Linked DNA regions of Saccharomyces cerevisiae S288C. The protein of the gene in region 2 interacts with the protein of the main gene of each other region in a biochemical or structural test. Each region holds a gene or a part of one and is shown on either strand. Other genes may lie near its edges.

The links.
Region 1: the proteins of ATG16 (region 2) and ATG7 form a complex in vitro, tested with the Saccharomyces cerevisiae proteins (one study listed by BioGRID).

What each region holds. Positions count from the first base shown.
Region 1 is NC_001140.6:443,787-448,105, reverse strand, and holds ATG7 (Atg7p), read right to left. Parts: upstream 2,394-4,319; coding exon 501-2,393; downstream 1-500. Other genes in the region: ribosome-binding protein NMD3, read right to left, coding at 2,722-4,278. UniProt on the Saccharomyces cerevisiae protein: E1-like activating enzyme involved in the 2 ubiquitin-like systems required for cytoplasm to vacuole transport (Cvt) and autophagy. Activates ATG12 for its conjugation with ATG5 and ATG8 for its conjugation with phosphatidylethanolamine.
Region 2 is NC_001145.3:573,923-584,173, forward strand, and holds ATG16 (Atg16p), read right to left. Parts: upstream 1,007-10,251; coding exon 554-1,006; downstream 1-553. Other genes in the region: CVM1 (Cvm1p), read left to right, coding at 1,144-3,594; type I HSP40 co-chaperone HLJ1, read left to right, coding at 3,796-4,470; aminophospholipid-translocating P4-type ATPase DNF3, read right to left, coding at 5,029-9,999. UniProt on the Saccharomyces cerevisiae protein: Stabilizes the ATG5-ATG12 conjugate and mediates the formation of the 350 kDa complex, which is necessary for autophagy.

The DNA.
Region 1 (4,319 bases), on a different chromosome or scaffold from region 2:
TTTAGATATGAATGCCAAATTAATGTGAATTATTAGGAGGGGAAACTTGGATACGTGAAGTGAACGCATAGATCTTCAAATCGTATAGTTTTTATCATATCACTTTAGACATTGATGGAACTACTCCTCTTACCAATTTCTTAGCCGTCAGCAACGAACTTAAAACGTATTGATTGAACGCCCGTATCATACATAATAAAGAAATACAACTTATTCTCATAAAAAGAAAGTATCAAAAAGGTAGCTTTACCGACACTTTCACTGATCCTTTTTGAAAAATACGGTGAACATTGAGGACTTTATTACATTTTATGTTTATGTTTTGTGAGTAAAGTCAAGAATTTGTCTTCTTGTTAAAACTACAAAAAATAATGTATGCAAAATAGTATAGCAAGATCATTTTAATAATTCAATGTTATAAACGTTAGAGTCAAAAATTTAGTAGCTTAATTACGGAAAGTGGCACCACAATATGTACCAATGCTATTATATGCAAAATATTAAGCAATCTCATCAGATTCATCATCTTCCCATTCAAAAACATCGTTGCCTAGTCGTTCGACCTCCTGCTTTATGACTGACAAACCGCTAATTTCTTCAAGGTAAAGTGGATGCTCCAAGGCCTTTTTAACAAATTCCCAACCTAAGTCTGTAAATGCTTCGATAACTTTAGGGCTACATGCTGGACAATGCTCATAGGCTGGAGTTTCTAATTTTAAGATGGAAAAATTATGCAAAAACCCACGTATTTGATGAGGTATATCCCCTAATACTGTTGTTTCTGAACCAGAGTATTTGGTCTGTAGTAAGGAAGTCATCAATTCAACTGCTAAAGAAGAGGCCATCATAGCAACGCCGGGTCTAGTTACTGTGCACATTTGATCCAAAGTCCTGTCAGTTAAACTGTCAGTTGGTGCTACCACATCATGGCAAAAATAACAGCCCAGTTGTTTTGAAGACTGTTCATCTCTATTACCATGCCTCATAACTAAGTAGCTATCAAACCCCAGAGCAGCATTAATAACGGTTTTGTTTTCGATGTTGCTCAATAACGACGGAAGCCATCTGCTTTCTCGAGAATCCACCAATAAAAAAATGATATCATGCTCTTTTATTAATGCTCTTAATCTATCAAAATCCTTATGCTGAGCCTCCTCGTTTACTAATTTATGACCGATCATAGGAATACTTAATTTCACACCAGTAGCGTCCATTAAAGGAAATATTCTTTTCAAAGACGCAGCCGCAAGTTCTGCCTTTGGCTTTCCACAGTCCTCAAAATTATATAACGCTTGCCTCACTGGATTTGAATATGAAACTGTACCGTTATCCACAAATGTTATTTTTCTAACCCCCCATGCTATCAATGCGCGTGAAACATAACAACCTAGTGTACCAGCACCTAGTAGTAGTACTTTTGTGTTTTTGATGATATCTAGATTTAAGTCAGGAAGAATTCTCCATTTCATTAGCTTCAAATTTAAATCCACGGATTGGTCAGCAATTTTTAAAGGATCTAACAATGAACTTAAATCAACAACACGTGGTGCTAGCTTACCTTGCACATTCCTTTCCCATCCAGAAACTTTCATATCTGGGTTACTTGAGGATGATTGTGGGTCAATAGAAGCAAATGTAGCATTTAATGCAAAGCTACCTTCGTTCTGTCTAATAATTAATAGTTTGAAATCTATCAAGTCAGGAACATCGTATTGCAACACGCTGAGAAAATTTTTGGTTAGAGCAGAAGGGACGTTTTCCATCGTACTAGTGTCCCTTATCGCCAAAACTTTAGTTTTTCGAATAATACACTTGTCATAATTTACTATTTCATCGTCTGCATCCAGTATACACACCCATTTTGAGTAATTGACATCAAACCATTTTTGACACTTTGAGAACAGCCCTTTTAAACTCGGCTCTGGCCGCACATGTAAAACTGTTGAAGAGGGTCTTTGAAAACAGGGAACACCTAACCAGTAATAAAACCTGTACTTTTTTAGGTCAGCAAAACTAATAATCACAAAAGAAACACACTTATTGATATCCTTTATTCCATCTTCCCAGCATTCCAATGCTCTTTGATGTAAAAATAGTTGCTTATCAAGATTCTTAAACTCGTCTAATACATTAAAATTGAAAATACTGCCCTGTAAAGGCACTTCATTAGTACGCTTATTATTGTGTTTTTCAAAGCTTCTATTTGTTAAGAATAATGGAACTTGATCAGCAGATTTAGGAATGTTGTGTAAATCTAGATTCACAGTAAGTGGTTGGCATGTTGAATCTAATTTCAGAACATCGAGTTTCAATCTCGATAATTCTTGGAAAAAAGATGTATCCAGAAATGATTTAAAAGCTGGTGCATAACTTAAGACCCTTTCTGACGACATTTTATTCTTGATTATCTTATATTTGTTGAAATATAATGAACTTTAGTTATCTAAGTAGCATCGTAAAATAATGAGTTCCCTTAATTTTTTTGTTTTGCCGTGCCGGAAAGGGTGTCCAAAGGAATCTCATGGATTAAAAAAGCGGAAGTTTAAAAATCTTGCGTAAGAGCTCTACAAATGAAAAATCTTGCTTGCCTATCTAGTTTTCAACATGTGGTGGCTTGTTCTTCCATAAAGTACATTTTACATCCATATATATGTATATAGATAAACTGAAATGCTAGTGTTTGTTAAGAGTATATACTACTCTCCATTCTTTGGTGTTTTTTTACTGCTGAGATTCAACGGGTGTGTTCTCGACTCCATCTTCTAATGTCATTTCATCTAACTCGTCCAATAATTCATCAATGTTGATTTGTGGAGCGTCTTCATCCTCGTCTTCATCCATTTCATGCTCTTCAGGAGGTACATTTGCTTCGCGGTTTTTGTATAGGTTAACACTTTGTCTTAATTCAGCATCCTCTTCTAATTCTTGTAAGAATAATTCGTAGTCCTTTTCTGCACGTTCCATTTCTTGCTTTTGAGCTCTTGAATTGTAATCTAAGGATGCATCGATATCTTTGTGTTCCTTAGCCATTCTCTTTAACTTCCAGTGTCTGCTCTTTTTGCTCTTTCTTTGATACAATTTCTTCACAAGAACTACATCAGGCACATAATCGATATTTAACCCATCAAAAAGATCTGAGTTGTAATTCGAGTTTGCAATGAAATAACCCATAACACTATCACCTGCATGGCAAATACCACCGAGATGAGACCTGACGTAGTAGACTTGGTCATTAACACCCAAGTCAGACGTTCTAGCAACAGTAATGTCAGCTAAGACACGATTTCCCCTGCTTATACCTGTAGAATCCACGTCCAGAACAATGAACTCCACCAACTGGGTCACATCAGCCAGGGCGTTGAATGGAGCCCTCCAGTACACAGATGGTGACAGATCCGCGGTTTGCAAAGTAGTCGGATCCATAAACTGGACAGTGTTAGAAATCTTAGAACATAGAACAAATTGAGAAATGTTACCCATAGATTTAGCCAGTTTTTTTGGTAAAACGACCAAGTCATCTTTACAGATAGGAACAATCTCGACAGAATATGAAAATTTATAAGTAGATGCACCAGTATGTGTATCTTGAGAAATAAGTTCTTCAGACTTTTTATGTTTAATCGGAACAACAGCGTTCAAAAAATCAATCATCTTAACTGCGTGGTTTTTTTGCGCATAGAAGAAATCCAACCCGTCCTTAGCTTCACTAATGGAAATGGTATCCACATGAGCATTATGTTTCAAAATCAGTTGTTCCAAAAACAAAAATGTTCTCTTGTGAGGCACTTTTTGTCTAATTTGGACAGTAGCCCTCCAAGTATTTGTAGTGTAGGATCTGGCACAGTCTGGACATTGCATCGCAATAACAATGTATTCTACTTCGAAAGTTTGCTGAATAATAGTATTTGTCATGGCTTCTCCCTGCACGGTAAGTTTAATTCTAATACGTCTAGAATGGGGTTCTGTCCAAATGAATGAAGCATCCACTAATCTGACTTTTGTTAGGCCCTTCAAACGACGCAAACAAATGGCCAGTAATTCTCTAGATTCTAATTCTGCTCTGATCCATTGTCCAGGTGGTTGCAAAAATCTTTCACAGTTTCTGCAAAATGAAATGTTCGCTTCTCTTGGAATACCTTGAGTAATGTCCACAGTCAGTTTGATACAGTCATAACACATAACCAGCCCAGTGGACCCATCGATTGGGGTACCACAGTTACAACATAGAAGAGTAGCAGCATTTTGGTGCTGGTGCGGATCTATAGGTGTGAATTCCATCCTTTTGTCAAATTCCTCAACGTTTATTAGACAATAAAATG
Region 2 (10,251 bases):
TCCCTTCCAATGCCAAAATGCTAGTCCTATAAATGAAAAAAAAAGCTTTCTGCTATAAGAACAGCAAGGGGCATTTCAACTTACACATAATAGAAGGTGAGATAAAGACCATCGTGAATCCTAATAGAAACTGCGGGTTTCTTAGGATCATGGGTCGCGCAAAACCGCCAAGTTTACCATCAAAAAGCTACAAAGTTCAATTTACCCAATAGAATTCTAACGCCAAAGATTTGTAGTGATTCATATGAAATTTTCTTTATGCATCCAGTTATTACTATTGAGTTTCTCTCAAGATACATTCTCCAAAAAAAAAGCCTGTTCTCGCACAAACGACCTTAAGAAAGGTTTAAAACAGCTGTCACATTACATTATAGTAGATAAAAACACGAATGGCATTTTCTTAACTTGCAGGTGTACTCTCTATAGCATGTTTAACATATTTTCACCTCTTTATTGCAAACACTTTGGCGTTTCATATTCTGTCCATGTATATGCACCACAATGATTTTATTTTCTTTTGTATGCATTTTGTGACGATTTGACAACTGATGCATCATTTCGTTCCATCTATTTCGCTGTTCATGGCTTCTGTCTCTTTCTCTGTCTTTTTTAGCCATCTCGCAACTAGCTGGGAATGTTCTTTTTTCAGATCCGAGAGTTTTTGTTGTAAAACATTATTTTCAATGGTTCCACTAATCAATTCGTCATTCAACCTTTCCGTATTCTTATTTTTCAACGCAATAACTTCTTTCAATCTTCGTATTTCTTGCTCCTTACTTTTCAGTTCTTTTTGTAGAATTGCCAGTGTATTCAATAAAGCATCGTCATGGCTGACAATGTTGCCACCAATGGCGCCACTATTATCTTGAAACAACTCATTTAAATGGGCCTCCTTGTCGTTTCGATCTGTTAGTCTACGAATTAACAAATCATCCATGCTATCTGTTTGTGGATTGCTTCTTTCCTCCTTTGCTTTCTTCCTTTCTGTTATAATGAAATTGCCCATGGAATATGCGCCCTTAATACAGATTCGCGCAGGTTAATAACAAAAATCAACGTTAAATAAAGGTCAACTACAAACAGAATAAGTAAAAGCGAGCAAGTGTAGTAGCAATTTAGCACAACATATAAAACGCTATTATAATGGATGTTGTGCAGCAGAAACAGGATAAACAGTTGCAGCATCAAACACAAGAGCAGCAGCAGATACGAGAGGACCAGCAGGAAGTCCCACCCCAACGTCCACGACAACAAAACAGATGGAAACCCTGGTGGAATTCCACTGCCGACGATGAGCCAAACACGGGAAGAATTGCAGAATATCCTAATGGACAAGGAAGGAGTAGTCCGACAACGGATTTTCAAGATAGCGTGAACTCGAATAATGACAATAAAGGGATATGGTCTAAAATCGCTTCTTTTGCAACATCCAGATATAGAAGTGCCCCAATTGTTGTTGATGATAATACCCGCTACTCTCAACTAAACACTGAACAAATCAACTTCTTGGAAAATGAGGCTAAGGATATAATTTCAAAAAAGTCGAAATCATGGTGTTGGTACGAAGCAATTCCACATATATCAAATTCATCAAACATAATTGATTCCATAGATACCCCAGGAATAATCAGTGTCTCTGGTACAGGATCAGCCAAATGCCCATTGCCATTAAACAAATATCCTGGGGAGGGAGGTAACCCTGGGTATAATGTATTTATTAATGATTCTTTAATCCTACCATCAGATAACCCTTTGAATTTTCTGCACGTCCAACCACTAAGAACTAAGGTATTGAATACTATCAAAAATTACTATAACTTCCCTAATGAGCAACATCTCTATTTAAGACAAAAAAAAACCGCATTACTGAAGGATAAGAGAATTATTATAATATCCGTCGTGGGGGATTTACCAGAAAAGTATGAGCAGCGCTCATTAGAATCACAAAGATCGGCTTATTATCTTTCTAGAAAATTGTCACAAAATCTAGCGCAAGAACAACCTCAAAGAGTCTTGACCCTATCGTTCCAGTGCCCACTGCATAATCAAGATTTAATACCTACATATAAAGAATGTGTAGAGTTACTGAACCACTGGGCTCATCTTTTCAAAGAGGTAGATTCAATTTTTTTTGTGGGCGTTTATCACAGCGTTCCCTTAACTTTGCTATTAGCGAAATATATCGTGCAAAATAATGAAGTTCTAGAGTTTGATGAAAACACTACAGTGAGTGTATTGAGTTTCCAGTCATGTTTACAAGGCTATCGATTTTGGGACCACAGCACTGACTTTACTAGCAATAGTTATAATAACTTGGGTTCCAATTCCAGTACTAACGAAAATGATAGTAATGATCATGATTCAAATAATGATTTCACAACGAAGAGCCAACAAATCAAAGAAAAACAGTTATTTCAGGGCATTGACAAAAAGCAACAAGACACATTATCTAAAATCAAAAATTATAGGCGGATAGATTCTAGTGAATCTAAACTAGTTCAGGATGCATTGGATTGGCTCTTGTTCAATTGGGATACGTTTCGACTGACATTTTTTGGTAAGCTTTATGATAATTTTATGACAATTTCAGAAAAACTTGCTATAGATTATAATCACCCTAAAATCTTGAGAAATTTATGGTGCAATGGGAAGTACATGGGCATTGATTTAAAGAATGCTAATAATTTAAACCTTGATACCGATGATGAAGCAACTAGTAACATTAATGACGTCCATGTAAGGACCCCTAATTTTGAATCGAGATTGAAGATTCCCACCAACAGACTTTTCGAAATAACCTTATGGGATATTTTGATGATAACGGAGAATTTAGGATATAAACAATTTATTCCCATAATTAATTTACTAAGTCCTTTTTTTATTTCAAGGTCATTTAATGATTACACATTGCCTCCAAATATTAGGAAACAGTACCAGAACAGCAACAAAATCTGGCTTCAAGAAATGGACAGTAAGTGGAAAATGAATGGTCATCAACTCAATTACGACCAAAGGGAGGGTGAAAGTCTCGGTTCATCATCGGAATCATTATTGCCAGAGAATATTTCTACGGTAAAGGATTTTTTGCAGTTTGTGCAGTATCAAAACGAAAAATCTTCGGATTTCGTAAGGATATATTCAGACATTTATGATGACGATAAAGTCTATAAATGCTTTCTGTACAATACAATATTCACGAAAAACCCATTAAGTCGTAAGCATTTACGTTTAAACATCGACCTCGACACTCCTACAAGCATATTGAATACTGTCAATCAATATGATTTGGTATGGAAAATTCATGATTCCTTCTCCAAATTGATTCAATTGAAAAATTTACCGCAGCGAGAGATACCACATGCGTTGAGGCTCTCCATCTCATTAAACTGCTTCTTGGATAGTACCACGAGTACTTCTGGCCCTGTTTTTCAGAGGGACACCGTGGAAGCTTTGAGAAGATTAACAGAGATTTGGCGAACTTACCAGGATTGGTCTCCACCAACAAGGGGTTTGAAACACCTACGTGATATCCTGAGCGTTTTAGCCATGTATGACAACCCCAAAAACTTGATTAATGATGTTCGACGTACATAGTAGATTCGTATATAGCGGACCGCGTAACATATTATGGTATTTGTATAGTGGGTAACCCGCAGAGTAGGCTGGAAAGTATTCGTGAAGAACATAAAGGAAGCTGGCAGAAGTTCTTTTCATACACCTCTACTTCCAGAAGCCATAATAGCAGCAACGCTGTTTCTGCAATATAACTTGTGGAAGGTCTATAATAGGAAGAACATGTCTTTCACTGAGGATCAAGAAAAAATCGCGCTAGAAATACTGTCAAAAGACAAGCATGAGTTTTACGAAATTTTGAAGGTAGATAGGAAAGCCACAGATAGTGAGATCAAGAAGGCATACAGAAAACTAGCAATCAAATTGCATCCTGATAAAAACTCTCATCCAAAAGCGGGAGAAGCTTTCAAAGTAATTAATAGGGCATTTGAAGTACTAAGCAATGAGGAAAAGCGCAGTATTTATGACAGGATAGGTAGGGATCCTGACGATAGACAAATGCCATCCAGAGGTGCTGCTTCAGGGTTCCGAGGAAGTGCAGGTGGGTCTCCAATGGGTGGCGGATTTGAAGACATGTTTTTCAATTCACGTTTCGGTGGTCAAAGAGCTGGACCACCAGAGGACATATTCGACTTTTTGTTCAACGCAGGCGGCAGCCCATTCGGCGCTTCACCATTTGGGCCTTCTGCTTCCACTTTTTCATTTGGAGGCCCCGGTGGTTTCAGAGTTTATACTAATAATCGTGGTGGCTCACCGTTCATGCGTCAACAACCCCGCTCAAGACAGCAGCAACAACAAGCAGAAGAAAATGCAGTGAATTCGCAATTAAAAAATATGCTCGTTCTTTTCATCATCTTTATTGTTCTTCCTATGATTAAAGATTACCTGTTTAGTTAAACACAATATTTTTACTGTCATTTTTTTATTATTTTCCAACGTTAGTCAAAGTTGTACTATAAAATAAAACTACAAGGAGCAAGCAAAATTGAAAAAACGCATTTGTATACTAGATGACATTTAGGTCATTCCTTCAGGCTTCCTGGCTATGTTTTATTTTGTTCCACAGTTTACCAGAAGGACATAATGGTATTAGAATTTTAATATATCGAGGAAATTAAATCAGACAGTATAATACTTATAAACATCTTTATTTTCTGATAACTAATCATAGCATTTACGCCATACATTTACTTTTTCTTTTGACACCGAAAGTAATCAAGCCACTTTTATAATTAGAGTTAGTTTATAGATAGTATTTAAAATTTGTGAAGATTTCCCATGCGTTGTGCCTTGCTTTCTCTCAAAATACATCTTGTTAATTTTCTAATGTGTGGATGCCGAAATAATATTCGACTCAACAAATCAAGTAAGTCTTCTAAGCTCGCTACTAATTTCCAATAAAAGGTATATATATAAAAATGTTCTCAATAATGTAATTAAACAAGATCACGAGAATTACTCCAGATCCTTTAGCCTTGCCTGAATAATCTGGTTCACATCTTCATCTTCCACATTCCTCGATGGAAGCTTCAGTTTCTTCGTCAGTTTAGTAGTTATATTGCCGCCAATACTGTCTTTACTGCTTTGTGTTTTCAAGGATGGTCGCTTGATTAACTTGCCACTAGGTAATACCTCGTATCGTTCAGAGCTCTTTTTAGAAGAGTTTCCAAAGAAATTTTTTTTTGAGGAATGGTCTACATTCCCATTTGACATTGAATATATGCTGCTGTTATGAGTTTTTGCACTTGCACGTGAATTAGTTCTTGGCCTTGAAAGAACTTTGTCTGTGTACCTTGTGAAAGTACTGGGATCTTTATCCCACGTCCATCCTTGCCTCATTTCGCTATAGGCTCCTAGTTCCAGCTTCTTTCTGATATCACTTTTTTGTTCCAGCTCAGCAAAAATATCAGAATCTGATGGCCATATCATAACTTTGAATGTTTTGTAAACTATATCTAAAGTGATAGGTAACAGTGCCAACACCAAGCTAGTACACCAGAATGTAATGTCTTTACCAAAATGATTGTAAAAGCCATATGCTACATCATATATTTGGTCAGTATTATTCAAAATAGGAAGGGCACAACACCACACTAACCAACCTCCACAGGATAGAACTACAGAAGTAAAAGCCAGCCAATTCCTATTGTGCATTTCAACAAATTGGGATTTAACGTTAATTAAGGCAACAATGGCTGTGAAATTGATGAGACCTAGAGGATACATAGTGTTATCTGAAAGAGAACTCATACCCCACATTACAACATTTAAAAATGTAATGATAAGAGAATTCGTAGTTGCCAAGATAACCCACTCCATGAATATTAACCAATTAAAACCTTGTGAAAGGCGCCCGTACGAATATAATTCAGGGACTGTTAGTAGAGTCATTGGTTTCAAGTCTTTCTCAAACATACCAATACATAGAACCGGTAGTGATGTGAATAGAGTATTGAACATGGACAATGACCATGGCTCATATAGAGAGGAGCCTGAAAACATTGTATATCTTTGATATATCAACTGCGTAAAGTAAAACGTAATTTCTTTGTAAAACGTGCAAAGCATAAACTTGGAGGTGCGAATATAGTTATAACGCCCATGAACAAATAACAATTTCAAGAGAAACCGAAATTGGCCAATAGAATAATCAGATACTCTAGATGCTTGCAATCCCTCCTTACCGGCTATTCCAACACCTATATCGGCAGATTGTATCATGGCAATATCATTCGCACCATCACCTATTGCCAACGTGACTAAGTTTGGATCGGTATTTCTTATGTTGGAAACCATAAGGGCTTTTTGAGAAGGTGAAGCACGGCAACATATTACCGAGTCTGTTTTAGTGCAAAGCTCAACAAATACAGACATGTATGTAGGATTTCCTTCAAACATGGCCATCGTGGCACCGTCAATTACAACAACGCAGTGTGCTATGTTTCCGGAATCAACTTCTTGAGAAACCGCATTCATCTTTGATATAATATTTTCATCAGTAGTAGTTAAAATGACTACCGTAGAATAATCTTTGATTAACATACACGAATACCCTATATTTATAGCCGTTTCCCTTTTATCCCCTGTTAGCATCCACATTTTTATACCGGCTCTTCTGATCTTTTCTATAGCTTCTGAAACGCCGTCTTGTAACTTGTCTTCGATTGCAGTTACCCCTAACAGATTTAAACCATCCTCGATTTCTGCACCTGCCTCATCGACTTTGATTTTTCTATCAGTAAGGGAGGTTTTGGCTTGGTGATAGCGTTTATTCCAATTTTCATACTGCCCAATATCGATCCATTTGTAAGCATAGACCAGAGTTCTTAAGCCTTCAGTCGAAAACTCATCGATGGCTTGCAAAGTTCTTTCAATAACATACTCTTCATTCAAAATTAACTCATCGCTTCCAATGTGCTCCAAAATTTCTGTATCGTAATCATGCTGTAGTCCTTCTTTTCTTGTGTCTATTGGGACATTGTTGTTCGGAAAATGTGTTCCATCTATCGAAATTCGCGGCCCATATTTTTCTATTTGTTGCTTATGGAGTGACTTCCTGCTTTTATTTACAACGCTGCCAATCTCCTGATCAGATTTCTTGACCGTTTCTAGAAATTGATCAATGGAGTCAATTTGTTTCTCTGGATCACGGGTCCTGCTGTTCTTCATTGAAAGACTTTTTCTCACTGCCTGCAATGATAAACTTGCTCTCGGTACGCTAGACAAAGAATTTCTCAATGAGGTCCTGGCCATAGCCTCTTCATCTACCATTCTTTCCAGAGACTTTCTTTGCTGGAGAACCAGCTCTGCTTCTGCGTCTTTACGTTCTTTGGTACTGGTGCATATGTCTGCCATTTTTTTGGCAGCCAATTCGCGATCATGTAAACGCTCCATAATAACGTTATCAGCACCTTTGCAAATTAAAAGAACTTGATTTGGTTGATTTGGCATACGTACAAGAACAGACATTCTCTTTCTTTGAGAATTGAAGTCAATATAGTTCAAAATTTCATAATTTTCCAATTTTGCTTCACCGTCAAAACCGTCTGGAAAAGTTTTAATGGTCAAAATCTGTGCATTTCTATTCAATACAATATAACCAAGGTCTCTAGCAGCGGTTACTAGTGCTAATTCATCTGGAGATGAAGACTGATACTCTATGGAGTCTTCTCCTATTGATTCGTTATGAGTTTTTTTGGGAAGACAGCTATGACAAAGAGCTAATGATAAGAAGAAAAATTTAGCCTTTTGAGAAAACAGGGCGGTCGGATATCTTTGAATAAACTGAATTAAATCAAACGAACTTTTAATGTTCTCCGAAAATGTCTCGGAGGGTGAAATAACCGAAGCTTGTTTACTTAGATGTGAATTATCTTTCCCAAAAAGTGATCTCATACTGGGACGGCCTGTATAAATTGCTGATGAATTTCCCTTATATTCAATAGAATTCCTAGATTTAGGAAAGTTGTCCAAAGATGGACGATGCCCTTTTTCAATTGGTGCGTCCGAAAATCCTAACCGATCAAGAACATTTTGATCTCCAATGGAAACAACGTCTATACTAGAGCCGTTGTGAGCTTTTGGTGGTAGTCTCAAGGAGTTCGTATTGTCTCTGTTGTCTTCAAAGTTATCCTCAGAATTACCGAGATCTACATTATGCAGCCAAGATGATCCACATAAAGAAAATTTCCGAAATATCATCTTATTATCCGTCAGCGTTCCGGTTTTATCACTAAAAATATAAGATACTTGCCCCAATTCCTCCAGAATGGTGGCAGTTCTCGATTCGCATGGCGTGTTCGTTTCTGCATGGTACATGTCTATGTCCCATTCCATCATTTTACTTTGGACTACCTTGATAATTTCCATTGTTACATATAGGGACAAAGGAATCACAGTGTTATACATGATGATAAAAGACATTATTGTGGGTGCTACGCCAGCATCTGCCTGAAATAGATACCATGCTTTGTTCTGGTCGATATATTTTTTCTTATGCAAAACATGGCCAAGATAAGAAAATAAAGATATTGTGGCAACGACAAACACCATAAACACGATAATCATATTTATCTTCCTTTGTAGCTTAGGGGCTTTCGTTCTTGGGTTTTTTAAAGCATTCATTCTGATTTTTGTTTCCTCACCACTGAAAATGACCATACCAACAACATTTTGAGTATTCCTCAAAATACTACCACGATAAATGACATTATCAGGACCTAGAGGGTATTTCATTATGGTATCATTGCGATGGTTTTTCAATTCAAGATTACCTTCAAAATTATATAAATCAATATTGGGATCTTCCACGGTAACTTGAGCATTAATATTTGCAAGACCTGATGCGGCTTTGGTTAACTTATTTAATTCTGGATGGGGTTGTTTACTTTTCAAATTTGTTTCGCCATCTAAAGCCATCGTTTCAACGAAACATTCGCTATTTTCGCCGTCACATGTCAATAAAAGCAGATCTGCAGGTACCCAATCATCTTGTGTGAGAAGTACGAAGTCTCCAACACGAAGTTTTTCCCACTTCTTTTGATGAATATGAACATTGTATTTATTCTTGAGTAGTTCAAAGTTATTGAAGTGCGTGTCTAAGAAGTGTCCTTGAGAGGAGTTCCGATCATCGTTTAAAGGTGGATTATTTTCAGCAGCGGCCGATTTAGTTAGATATGCAGTGGATGAGACAACACTACTTGGTAGTGTATAAACTTCTTGTGCGTCATTATTTCCATCTTTAACCAACACTCCCACTGGTTTATTGTTCTCTTCCTTATCTAAACGATGTCTCCTGAAATCGTCCCAAGCCTCTCTTGTCATGGATATACCCATAAATACACATAAGGGGATAATAGTTGTATAAGTACCAGTTGTAGACCATCCAGGTATCATTTGTAATACTGCGACAATGAAAAAATAAGTATTGGCTAACTTTGAAAATTGTGCATACAACTGTCTAGGCAAAAAGGAATAGAATGTATATCTTGATGAAGTTATTCGGTTGTCGCAGTAAGGCTTGTTGAACCTTTCGTCTATCAAATGACCATCCCTTTTAGTAGCAGCTTGTTTGTATTCAATTGCATTATGATCTAATATAATCGGAATATGTCTACCGTCTTTCGAATGGAACGTCCTCCTTCGATCTAGGATAGTATCAAGTATTTTAGTGATAATGCTATATGACACATCAGGACTACCATACTCTTCCATTTCATAATCCTCTTCAGCAGCATAATTGCCGCTTGTTTCATCTCTGTCATCTTTATCGTTATTATCGCTACCGGAGAACGTCTTACTCTCATTTATATCTTCTAACTCTATCTCATCATCAGTTCTTCCGCGATATTTATCATACAAATGCTTGTTGAACATCTGCGTTCGTAGTGATGAAGATCTTCTTCTTTGCCCATCAGCTATGCCCATAATATTTTTTTCTTTTTAATAAAGAATGGAATTAAATTATCTACTTCAATTAGGATGTTTATTTGCTGTATGGAAGCTATGTGTATATAACGATAAAGGTCAAATAAAAGAAATAACAAAAAAGAAAAGAGTGAATGAATAGTCCAAAAGCAATGGGGTAATTTGGCACTTGATCTTTTCTCAAGACTTCCTGCAATATTGAATTCTTCTTTGTTAAATATTCGCTTACTTAAAGCACTTGACAGACTGGGG